Linked DNA regions of Elephas maximus indicus. The protein of the gene in region 2 purifies or fractionates together with the protein of the main gene of each other region. This does not show direct contact. Links are inferred from orthologs where the notes say so. Each region holds a gene or a part of one and is shown on either strand. Other genes may lie near its edges. The genes, in order: URGCP, HECTD1 and SMC2.

Region 1 (3,746 bases), on a different chromosome or scaffold from region 2:
TGATAGTGTCATTTCCCGACCAGTGAGTGCTCACTGCCCATAAACAAGGTTCCTAGGCAACCTCAGGCCAGCTCCCAGTCTGGTCCCTGCCTCCTCCTCTGGCCTTGTCTCCACTTAGCTCCAAATACACTGGTCAGTGGGTCACCTCTCAAACATATCTTTCCCTCTGAAGTCTACATTCTTGCCATTTCCTTAAGCACAATTACGAAGGTCCTCAAAAATTGTTAGGATTTCCTCTTTCCTCTCCAACTCTCTCATGGAGGTTGCCACACAGAAAAGAACGGGTTTTGGAGACTCACCACTCCCCTCCTACCCTTGCCTGTCCCTTGAAATTTTTTTCTACCGCACCTAGTCTAGTAGGCTTAAGGTTAGCTGCTTAGCTGACCAAGACAGGCCACAGAATCCCAGGAGACTGTCTCCCTGGCTGGACTGGGCCCACCAGCGAAGCCTATACAGTGGACAACCTAGATAGGTCCAGAAACATGGACTGTCCCCAAATGTGTATGTACCATAATAAGAGCATAATTCTCCCCTAAAATGAATTAAAGCATACTGAAAGTTTTGTGACCCTAGCTTTGCAATGGGTGCCACTCAGAAAACTACAGATTACTACAGATTGCTGACTCATGGAGTAACTCACAAATAGTTGAAATTGTAAATATTAAATCTGCACTCATGCTACCTACTACAGAGATATCATTTAGGACCTATCTGGCTCACAGAAGGGGTGCCAGCCCAGCATTAAGTCCACCTCTGACCCATGTCTACAAAGCAATGTACTTGGGTGCCAAAGCCTACATGGCCTGGACTAGCCACAGTTCATCATGATTCTTAAGAAAAGCATCACAGCAGCCTGACACAGGCCCCAACACCATCGCTGCTGCCATTAGGCTCGCCAGCCTCACTCTCTTCTGATAAACAGAGCAGGAATGCAGGGGACATTGAACCCCTGAGTAAATTGGTCTAGACTTCCCAGGGATGGGCCTATTTATTCCATTTATGAGGTCAAAGTACTGGGTACTCTGCTGGACCGGTGTAACATTAAGGCTAAGGGTCCCTTCAAGAATCAGATAAAGGCCACAGACTTTGGTCCCAGGAAAACACACACCACCCCCAACGCTGCATACAATTACAGGGAACACAGAGACCCCAGAAGCCCATTCATGAATCATGGACCCTAGGTTAAGAGCCCCAGACCGAGATGACAGTTAAAGCCATAGAGATGGATATGATCATGCAGAAAGAACGTGTTGTAGCAGAGATTGACTACAGAAACAAGGAAAAGCCAACACTGAACAACCAGGCAAACGAGAATCTGGTCAGGCAGGTAAGGAATAGTCCTAGTAGTTTTAAGAAAGCCAAGCAAGGACTCCCTGGCCCAGGACTGACCATTGCCCTCTAAGCCTAGAGAGACAGCAGGCAGATGGAAACTGCCCAAGGCCTGGCTACAGTCTGGAGGCCTGGCTTCAAATCCCAGCTTGCTCACTAAGGCCCATTTCACTGAGCCAAATCACTGCACCTGTAAAAGAGGCATTACAGTACCCATAGTTTCTACCTCACAGGCCTGATGGTAATATCTGTGAAAGCCCTTTGTGAACTATAAAGATGTACAACTTTAATTGTTCACAGTCACTAGGCCTAAGACCCTCTGAGTGGTGGGCAACAACCAAATGAAGAATTTGCCAACCAAGGCATTGCTTTGGGGGCCTAATTTTCCTCCTCTATAAAATGAAGACATTAGATTAAGTGTCATCCCCAGATTTAAAGGACCACTAACCAAAACAAAAAAGTAATAATAACGGATTTCTGGGGTTTTTATTTTGCCAAGAGAAGATTAGGGGAAAAAAAAAAAATTACAAACTATGTCTGTCACCACCATTTCCTAAAAGAAAACGCATTCTTAACACCAAAACAGGGGAAGGGAGGCGATGTTAGGATACGGCAGTCCTGAGGGAAGGCCCAAGGCCACAGTCTGACCAAGGAGACCCTGGGACGCCTTCGGAAGCGCTTGGCAGCAAAGTGTCGGTACGCTCTCAGCCTGACATTCTGTGGCATTCAGGTTACGTCCTAAGGACAGCGAAAACCAAACATAAACTCCACGCGAGCAAGTTTAAAAAACAGAGATGCCAGAAATCTGAGGACCTGTGTATTCGGCGCCCTGGGGTCAAACCGCTCACAGGTCTCCCTCAGCACACTTCCCCGCCCGGCCCGAAGGCCCACACCCGGCTCTGCACCCGGCTCTGCACCCTGCCCCGCACCCCGCCCGGCACTCCGGCACGCGACCCCACCCCACACCCCGCCCCGCATCCCGCACCAGGCCCCACATCCCGCGCCACCTGCCGCACCTGGGCCCGCGGCCCCGCACCCCGGGCCGGGCCGCTCTCCCTCAGCCGCCCTCGGCACAGTGACTGCGCGCACTGCCCCGCGGCCTGGCGCTCCTTCTACGCACACCGCCTCGGCCACGGCAGCGCCCACCGCGTCCGCCCAAGGTCGGCAGGACCCGGCCTCCCGGCCGGAAAGGCTGCAGGCCGGGCCCGGCCGGTCGGGGCGGGTGGGGAGGGAGTCCCTCTGGCCGGGCTGGGTCACAGGCCCGGGCGGGCGCGGTGGGCTCGGGGCCCGGAGACCCCCCCAACCCACTCCTTCGCGGCGCGGACGCAGCGGCTTCGGTCCGGCGCTCCGAGTGCGGCACTCACCCGGGCGACGCCATGAGCGCGGTGAGGTCGCGGCTCCCGCCTCCTCCGCTTCCTCCGCGCGGCGACTCCGCGCCGGGGAGGGGCCTCCGCCCGCCGCCTCGGGCCACCCGTTCTGGGCCACGCTCCAGGCAGAGCGGCAGGGCCGGGGGCGGCCCGCGCCCCGCGCTCCGTGCCCCCGACTTCCCCGCGCCCGCCCCGGTGATCAGAGACACGCCGGGTAGCACAGGCGGGGCCAAACCTTCCCGGGGCCACAAAGCAGCCGCGGGGTCAGGCAAATTCCACCCCTCCCTGAGACTCAGGCTTGATTTCCGTAAGAAAAGCTTTTTGTTTAGCCCTGGAGGGTAATGCATTGTTATTATTATTATTAAGCAACAAAGATAATTTTCCTATTCTTACTTGCTCTGTAGTCTTGGACAAGTTGCTGGCCTCTCTGTGCCTCAGTTACCCCATCTAAAATGTGGGTAAGATCACATTGTGAAGTCCTAAGGGATGTGGGGCATTTTATTATTCTTTGAATTGTGTTATTAAGGAACGATGCGGTTTCATAGCTCCACCTACAGCTGTATATACTTAGGCAAGTACTTCTTGAGACTTAACTCCTGTCTCTGCAAAATGAGACTTCAGGAATAACTAAGCTTTTGTAAGTGAAAGGAGCCCTGGTGGCACAAGTGGTTAAGCGTTTGGCTGCTAGCCAAAAGGTCGGCAGTTTGAATCCACCAGCTGCTCCTTGGAAACCCTATGGGGCAGGTTTACTCTGTCCAATAGGGGGCTATGAATCAGAATCTACTCTACAGCAATGAGTTTTGTAAGTCAAAACACTTAAAATGTTCTGGACAAATGTAAACCATTGTTGATAGCACTTGTTGTTAGAACATTAAATACTAATAATCATTATCTTATTATCATTTATATTAATACTAACCTGAGACTGCAAAGTGGTGACTGAAAGCCTTGGCTCTGGAGCCATAGTTGGTAGTTGCCAAGGAGTTGGCTATAACAACAGAACAAAACATTGCCCAGTCCTGCACTATCCTCACAGTTCTTGATATCTTG
Region 2 (3,746 bases):
ATGCTAAGTGAGTAACGCTCCATTTATACCCTCCAAACTGAAAATTACAAATGGCTTGCTTTAACAAAAGTACAATGTCATATGACCTAATACCAACGAAGGACTGGGCAGTTCAAAACATATATGCTCATTATCATCTATGTTATTCTGTAAGTCAATTTCACAGTACAGAAATAGATACCTTTAAAGAAGATAAATATCTGCATTTTACCCAGCTTTAATAACATATTTTGAAAATGCATCAACCAAGCTATGGGTTAAAATTAGTATTTCCTACTAATTACCAATCCACTCAACAAAACTATATTTGTGTCATCACCATTACAGTCACTGGAGTTACTTCATCTACCAATTCTATTTCTCAGAAAAGCGTAAATGGAAAATTCTGTAGGAACTTTTAAAAAGGCAACAGCTCAAAAATTCACTAGAGAAATTTCTAAACAAACTGAAGTCAACAAACGGCTGAAAACAGATGTCACTGCAGCAACCCCAAAGAAAGATGATGAAGGGATGTACTTACGTTTCAAAACAACGATCCACGTTGTCAGACATCAAAAGCAGCATGCATAGCTGTTCAAGGGCTATTAGTTGCATGTCCCTTTCATCTCCCTGTCCCATCTGTAGCCATTCCAGCAATGTATCCGGATCCACATCTGCCATGGTTTTTTAAAAGCCTCTTTGCTTAAATTTAAAAAAAAGGAAAAAAGGCCCTTTAAATGTCAGCTTGGGTTTAAAAACTTTCTTTTACATCGGCTAGAGCCAAATTTTCATGTTGTCCTCCTAGGAAAAGACTCACAAGTATGTTTGGACAGAGTGCTAATGCCGTTTCTCAACTTCCCTTATTGCTGGGACTTAACACTGGGATATCATACTAAATAAAAACCGGTTTTGCACAACAGTATAAGCTGATTAGGTTGCTGCTTAACTAGAAACTGAGCTGCCTTTGTCAAAGACAGTCAAACAGGCTTCGTTTCCCACTACTGCTATCACTAATGTCTGTGCCAAAAAGGCAAAGAATACCTACTAAACCGCCCCCCCCCCTTTTTTTTCCAGCAAACTTCTTCGGCCCTCCCCTACTCAAAACTGATCTTCAGATAAAGGTCAGATCCAATTTTGAGTAGATTCTAAGCAGTAGGATCCCTCCCAAATTGATTTTCTCCTTTTACAAATTCTGCTGACTTCCCAATTTACTTACTCCTTTTCTAAAGATCTCCAAATACAAACGATAATGAGATAACCTATATATAAACAAAGACTTGGTTTAGGAATTTTGGCAGTCTTGACAACTATTCTAAAAACTTTAACGAGAAATGCTAAAAGTAATGCAATGGACTTACACGTTACGGATCAGAATACTATAGGCCACTCTACTGCCCTCTTTCCCCCACCCCCACAGGATGGGTAGTTGGTTAAAAATAATAATACAGTAACACAAAACAGAGAAGCAACCCCAATAGGCAAGTCATCACAAAAGCTCTTCGTAAGCGCCCGAACTGGCCGGAGGACGGCTTTGGGTCCCACGTCACCCAACTGCAGGTGTGTGAATCCAGCGGCGGGTCCCAGTGGGCACCCAACGGCGGCGACGAACCGGGTTACCCCAACATCCCGGGCCCGGCCAAGCCCGTGCCAAGCGGCGCTAGCACCGCCCTCCAGTTTCCCAGCACCAGACCCGCTAAGTTAGCCACCTCTGTCTAGGAGAAGGGGGAAGTTCTGAAGGAGAAGCAGCAAGCCTCGGTGCCCGAGAGGAGCCTGTCGGGCTGGGCTAAGCGGCGGGTCTCCCGGGAGCGGCGTCCGGAACTCCGAGGCCCGGCGGGACATCCCTCGCCCCCGCCGGGCGCCGAAGCCTTCTCAAGGGCAAAGGGGGGCCTGCCTTGGGCTCTGGCTTCGGTGTGTAAGCTGGGCCCCGCCGCGGCAGCGCCGGGGGGAGGGGAACAAAGGGGCTAAGCAGGGGAACAGGAGCAACCCCGCCGGCCTCACCCGGCAAGGAGGTCTCGCTCCCGACCCACCGCCGGGCGTCCCGGATGCCGGCCCCCAGGCCCGGCACTTCCGACGGCCCGAGGCGCTGCCGCCTCCCCTTCCCGCAGGCTCTTACCCAGGCTTGTAGTCCCAGACCACTCCGGTCCAGCTCCAAGCAGGCCGCGGGGCAGAGTCAGGCCCGGCCGCGGCCCTCGAGTTCCCAGGAAGCCGCAGGCCGCGCAGGTCGAGCCAGGCAAGCGGCACAGGAAAAGCCGCGCCTCGTCCCTCCCCTTCCTCCACGGGGACCTGATGACAGAGAAGCGAGAGGTTCTCCCCAGAGGCGGCGGCCAGCCAGGGTCCGTCCCTAGCACGAGGATCGTCAGGCTCTGCGGCTCAGAGGCCCGCGCGGCTCTGCCGGCGGCTGCGGGAGGAGGCCGCGTCCATCGCGATCCGGGAGGGGGAAGGGAAGAGGGTCGAGCGAGAGCCGGGCGGGGGAAGCTGCCGAGGGCAGCCGAGCCTGGCGGAGGCGGAGCCAATCTGCTTTCCCGGCGGCGACCCCGCCAGCGGCCACCTGGGGCGCTGCGGAGAGGGGCCGGCCCACCGCGCCCGGGCACCAACCTGGGCGCCCGGCGGCTGGACGCGTCTCAACCCCTGCCGGGCGCTCTCGGTCCCGGGCCTTGGGCTCCCTCGGGTATTTGCCACCGTTTTCCTGTCGTCCGCTCTGGCGTCCTTTTCGTCTGGCTGTCAGTTGGAGGCCACTCCCAGCACTCCGCGCACCACCGTGCACGCACGCTCAGCTTGTTTTGCACCGTGTGTTCATACTTACCGGGCAGCCCTGGCTGCACGTCAAGGCTGCGGCCCAACCTGTTCGTGGTGAGCCTCCGGCCTCGGCGACCAATACTCCGCCAGCGCTTCTCCTCCTTCCCCTCTGGCCACGCTCCTAGCACATGGAAGTGTTAATTCTAGGCTAAAGATTAGCTGAGCGCTGGTGGCCCTCCAGTGAAGAAAAGCGCCTCCCTTCGGTCCTGGGAGACAAACAGCCCTGCAGTTCACCAGAAAGAAAACCTTTCACAGGAACCCTGGGAAGTATTATCAAGTGTTACCTCCATTGTATAGATGAGAAAACTGAGGCTTCCGGAAAACATGAATTCAGACACAAAGGCACCCCCAGTAAGCAGCAGCACTGAGTGGTAGCTTATGGTCACTTCAAAGTTACATTTCATACGCCCTGAAAATAAAATATGCCTACTTATAGTACATACTTGGAGATGTTTAGGATGTAATTATCTGGAAACGTGAAGATAGCTTTCTTTTTAAAAAATCAAGAAATGAATTTCCTTCGTGAGGCAAGGAAACCGATGCTCCCAGAGACTTTTGCTGTGTTCTTACTTTTTCGTCTTTGAGATTTAAAAAAATGAATGTTTGTGATACTATTTGAGACAGGTTCCCTTAAGAAATCAGATGAACTGCTAAGTATGTTTGAAGAACCACTGTTTTGGAAATTGCAGATTTGCACTTCATATAGCTAGTTTTATAGTTTTTGGGTAATTGCCCCTTAAGTCTCTTATTAACAAATCAACCAAGTAAATGATTCCACTATCTTGTTACAACTACAATAAACCCATTGCCATTAAGTCAATTCCAGCTCATAGCAACCCTACAGGACAGAGCACAACTACCCCCACAGGGCCTCCAAGGCTAATATCAGATGGAGCTTGGCTGAAAGAGAATACCAGAAAGATATTTACCTGTGTTTGATTGACTGTGCAAAGGCATTCGACTGTGTGGAT
Region 3 (3,746 bases), on a different chromosome or scaffold from region 2:
GTAAGTGAAATCATGCTATGGGAGAAAGTAAATGGGCATTAACAGAATTAAAAAGAAAACCATGACAAGCTGATAACATGGTTAGAGTATAAGAAAAAAGTTTAAAAAGAGAAATGTATGGTCCTGCGTTGGTTTAAAGTAACTTAAAAGATACAAACATGGTAGTAACATAGCTTAGTGATACTGCACATATAAAAATTAAAAGTGGTTTTAAGTAAATTCAGTACGAATTTGTAAGGTATTATGAACCCTCCAATGCCACACTGCGTAATACAGAGGTAGAAAACCTAAAAGGAAAGAAGTTAACAATTTGACTTAATCCTGTTCTAACAAGACCAATGCTGGTATATGCTCGATTTGAGGCACAACTCATTTAAAAACAGAAAAAATTATAAAGAACTGGAACATATTTAGAGTGGTCATGCAAGTGAAGAAAATGAAAACAATTAAACATCAATTAAAAGAACTGGAGAGCTTTAGCTTAGAGTACAGCTAAGAATTAAATGCTGGAATATGGAATAAATAAGATTTGCTCTTGGAGCTCTCAAATATATAGATTAATGTATGAGGCTACAAAAAAGCAGACTCTGGCCAATTTATAGAAGCCCTATTTTAATTACACCTGTCCAAATGGAATGGGTTACCTCAGAGGACAGTAAGATCCCAGGTACTGGAGGTATTCTAGCACAGACAGAGAAGGTTCAAGTATGGTTTAAGATTCAAGTATGGTTGAGTACTTATACTGAATGGATAACTTCAGGCCCCTTTCGATTCTCTCAGTTAATGCTGGAATTTCCAAGATCAAAATTCTGACACAAAAAAAGTATTCTTGAAGAATGAGCCAGTATTTGAGGTGTCAATTCTACTCGTGACTTTTCTTTATCTCCTGCACTTTGTGTAAAGCCATATTACTAAAAATGGTATCAAATATGAGTAGTCACTCACCTGCCTTGTTATTGTGATTTCATCATGTACCTCGAATCCTAAAGGACTTTGCTTTTTATCAGAATTATCAAAGGTGATTGACACTGAGGCTTTGGTAATACCTGCCTGCCCATTCTTGTAAACTAAATCTTGTAAATTAGAAGCCCGAACCTAAAACAGAAGGAGAAAAATTATTAATTATAAAACCCCATAGTGCACAAAGTAGCAAATGTACTTCTTGCTTTTGGAAAGCCCACCTATGCTGCATCCATTAAGTAGTCAAGGATAAGTAGTGGCATCTACTGGCAAGGAAAACAGGCAAACTACAACGGGCACCTTTCTCTCTAGGACATCATCAACCCTGAACTGGTTTTCTACTGTTTCTTAGCAAAAGTCCATCGGAAAGATTTAAGGGAAGACAGTGCCTAAGAAATTTGCTATTCATTCACGCCCATTAGTAGTAGGTCCTCTACAGGCATTACAGTGCAGGAGAAAAAATACAGACTCCAGGATGAGGCTGCCTAAAGTAAGGATGTCTGAGTTTGAGTGTTGCTCCAGCATACCCTAAGAAGATGAACCTCAGGCAAATTTCTTAACCCGCAAAGTTTCTATTTTCTCATTTAAAAATAGAGTGATAATTGTACTCATCTTCAACAGTTGCAGTGAGATTTAAGATAATTCACATAACATACAAAACACAGTACTTAAATATCAAAGGAAAAAAGAATGGTAGCAATAGTTTCTAAGCTCAGTGAAGACTTCCTTGCCAAACTTAAATTCATACAAATTAGAAAGTTTACACTTTACCTGAGACAGGTTAGAGATGCCCAGCAAAAAGCAAATAGAGTCCAATATGTTGGATTTTCCACTACCATTTAAACCAGTGATAGCATTGAAGAGGGGGTCAAAACCATTGACTTCAGTCCTCTGAGCATAGGATTTGAATCCTTCCAGAATTATTGACTTAATATGCATTTTCACAATTGCCTTGGACTGGTAAACCTCTGCTACGATCAAACAGGTCACAAACTAGTTCTGTACAAAACAAAAATAACAAAATGTAAGTGGAAGGCAAGACTGGACTCATACTGAATGTGAAAGACTAAAACATAGGCATGACAGCCCAAAAGAAATAAAACAGCCACTTGCCAAGCTAACTCTGATGTAAAGATATCGTTCCCTTATTTAAAATCACGATAGAGTTAACCACGATTTAGAAGTTAATGAAACTTCTGCCTGGAACCCAAAGTCCTTAGAACTTTCCCGATTTACTTTTCTAGACCTGCCTTCTACCTCTATCATATTCTAGCTAAACTGATTATTTCACACCCTTTGCCTGTAAACTGCCCACCCCCGCCCCCCCGAAAAAAAAAAAACAATACCACGTGGCACTCTACTGCATTCACATCTTTTCTCAAAGGTTCTTCCTGACCTCCCCATGTAAAATTGCATTTCTGCTCATCTACTCACCCTTTCTTTTTCCTTCGTTGCACTTAAGGGTGATACTAGACCGTATTTGTCTGTCCCACCTATTATAATGTAAGGTCCCCTAAGATTTCTGTTTACATCCACCGCTCTATCCCCTAATAGTGACTGAGTCTGAGGGGTCGGTAAATAGACGAACCGCATATATTCTCCAGACTCCTGCTTCTACTCAGGCTGTTTGTTACCTCGCCTCACCAGGCTTTCTGCCAACACTCCCCCACCACACTCCAAAGCTGCACAGAAATGAGCCTTCCTGCCTTAATTCCCAACTGAGACCCTCCTTGCTACTCATCCACCCCAACCTACCGCCGGGAATACAAGGCCCAACCAGCCGCGCTCACGCACCGACCTCGTCGCTGCCTCAGGCCGCCTGGGCTAGAGACGCCCGAGGGCTCCGCGAGGCCACAAGGGTGGAGTGCGGGTGAAATTCGCCCGCCTTCGGGCGCTAGGATGTGTGCTCCACCATACCGGCTACAACACTCGCCCCGCGGCCAGCACCGGTGCCGGAACTATTTATTCCTTTGAATTTAGGCGCGAGCAAAGGACCCCGCCTCCACAGCCTATTTCCTCTGTTGGCGCCTAAAAGTTGCCTGATTTCCTCGTTCCATGTTTTCCCTACAATCTAGGGATCTAAATGACAGAGAGATGGGAAAGAAAGTTCTGGCCATGACAGTTCCGGGTACGCGGCGGCGCCGTCCTGGCTACCCCAAAAGTAAGCGGCATATGTTGATATGGGCGTCCGGCACACCTCGGGCAGACCCAAGCCTCAGCCTTGGGGCCTCGAGCTTCGTCAGCCCCGCCCCGCTCCAGGCCCCGCCTCTTTGCGGACCTCGCCTTGGAAGCTCCGCCTCCTCGAGGACCTGGCGGGCTGTGGGGCGGGCTGCGGCTGTGTCGGCTCACAGAGATGGGGAGGCCGGCAGGTGTGAAGGTTTTCCTCTGGGTGCCTTCGCTGTGTATTAGAAGCGTCAGAGAATCTCCGGGTTGGCCCAGATGCCACAGAAACAGAAGAGGCGCTTTGTTGGGACTGTGTGGGCGAGGGGATTCTGAGGACTCTGGGTCGCGCGCGTTCTGGCTCCGCCTCTCCTCGGCTTCTGACGGGGCGGGGGGGTTAATTCTCTGTTTTCACGTCCGGAGGAGGTGATGATACTCGCAGCCTACAGCTGTGCTGGGGCCCAGAGGAGAAGGTGGGGCGGGCAAGTAGGTGTTTGACGTTAGTAGTTAAGAAAAGGACTGTGCTTGGCAAGCAGGTGTTCGTCTTGCGTTGAAGAGCTGTATGTAAAGTTATAATGTACCGTGGCAGAACTTTCTTGGGGGATTTCAGGGAATTATATTGGAAA

What was found.
Region 1: the proteins of HECTD1 (region 2) and URGCP purify together in Homo sapiens (affinity purification with mass spectrometry; 4 studies listed by BioGRID and IntAct, with this or other methods). This does not show direct contact. The link is inferred for Elephas maximus indicus from reciprocal best matches to the Homo sapiens genes HECTD1 and URGCP.
Region 3: the proteins of HECTD1 (region 2) and SMC2 purify together in Homo sapiens (affinity purification with mass spectrometry; 3 studies listed by BioGRID, with this or other methods). This does not show direct contact. The link is inferred for Elephas maximus indicus from reciprocal best matches to the Homo sapiens genes HECTD1 and SMC2.

What each region holds. Positions count from the first base shown.
Region 1 is NC_064826.1:121,605,280-121,609,025, reverse strand, and holds the start of URGCP (up-regulator of cell proliferation), read right to left. Parts: upstream 2,907-3,746; 5' UTR 2,708-2,906; coding exon 2,694-2,707; intron 2,517-2,693; exon of another isoform or gene 2,346-2,516; intron 1-2,345. UniProt on the Homo sapiens protein: May be involved in cell cycle progression through the regulation of cyclin D1 expression. May participate in the development of hepatocellular carcinoma (HCC) by promoting hepatocellular growth and survival.
Region 2 is NC_064828.1:43,628,928-43,632,673, forward strand, and holds the start of HECTD1 (E3 ubiquitin-protein ligase HECTD1), read right to left. Parts: upstream 2,184-3,746; 5' UTR 2,093-2,183; intron 682-2,092; 5' UTR 661-681; coding exon 521-660; intron 1-520. UniProt on the Homo sapiens protein: E3 ubiquitin-protein ligase which accepts ubiquitin from an E2 ubiquitin-conjugating enzyme in the form of a thioester and then directly transfers the ubiquitin to targeted substrates.
Region 3 is NC_064827.1:53,702,982-53,706,727, reverse strand, and holds the start of SMC2 (structural maintenance of chromosomes protein 2), read right to left. Parts: upstream 2,924-3,746; 5' UTR 2,755-2,923; exon of another isoform or gene 2,716-2,754; intron 1,960-2,715; 5' UTR 1,900-1,959; coding exon 1,732-1,899; intron 1,096-1,731; coding exon 946-1,095; intron 1-945. UniProt on the Homo sapiens protein: Central component of the condensin complex, a complex required for conversion of interphase chromatin into mitotic-like condense chromosomes.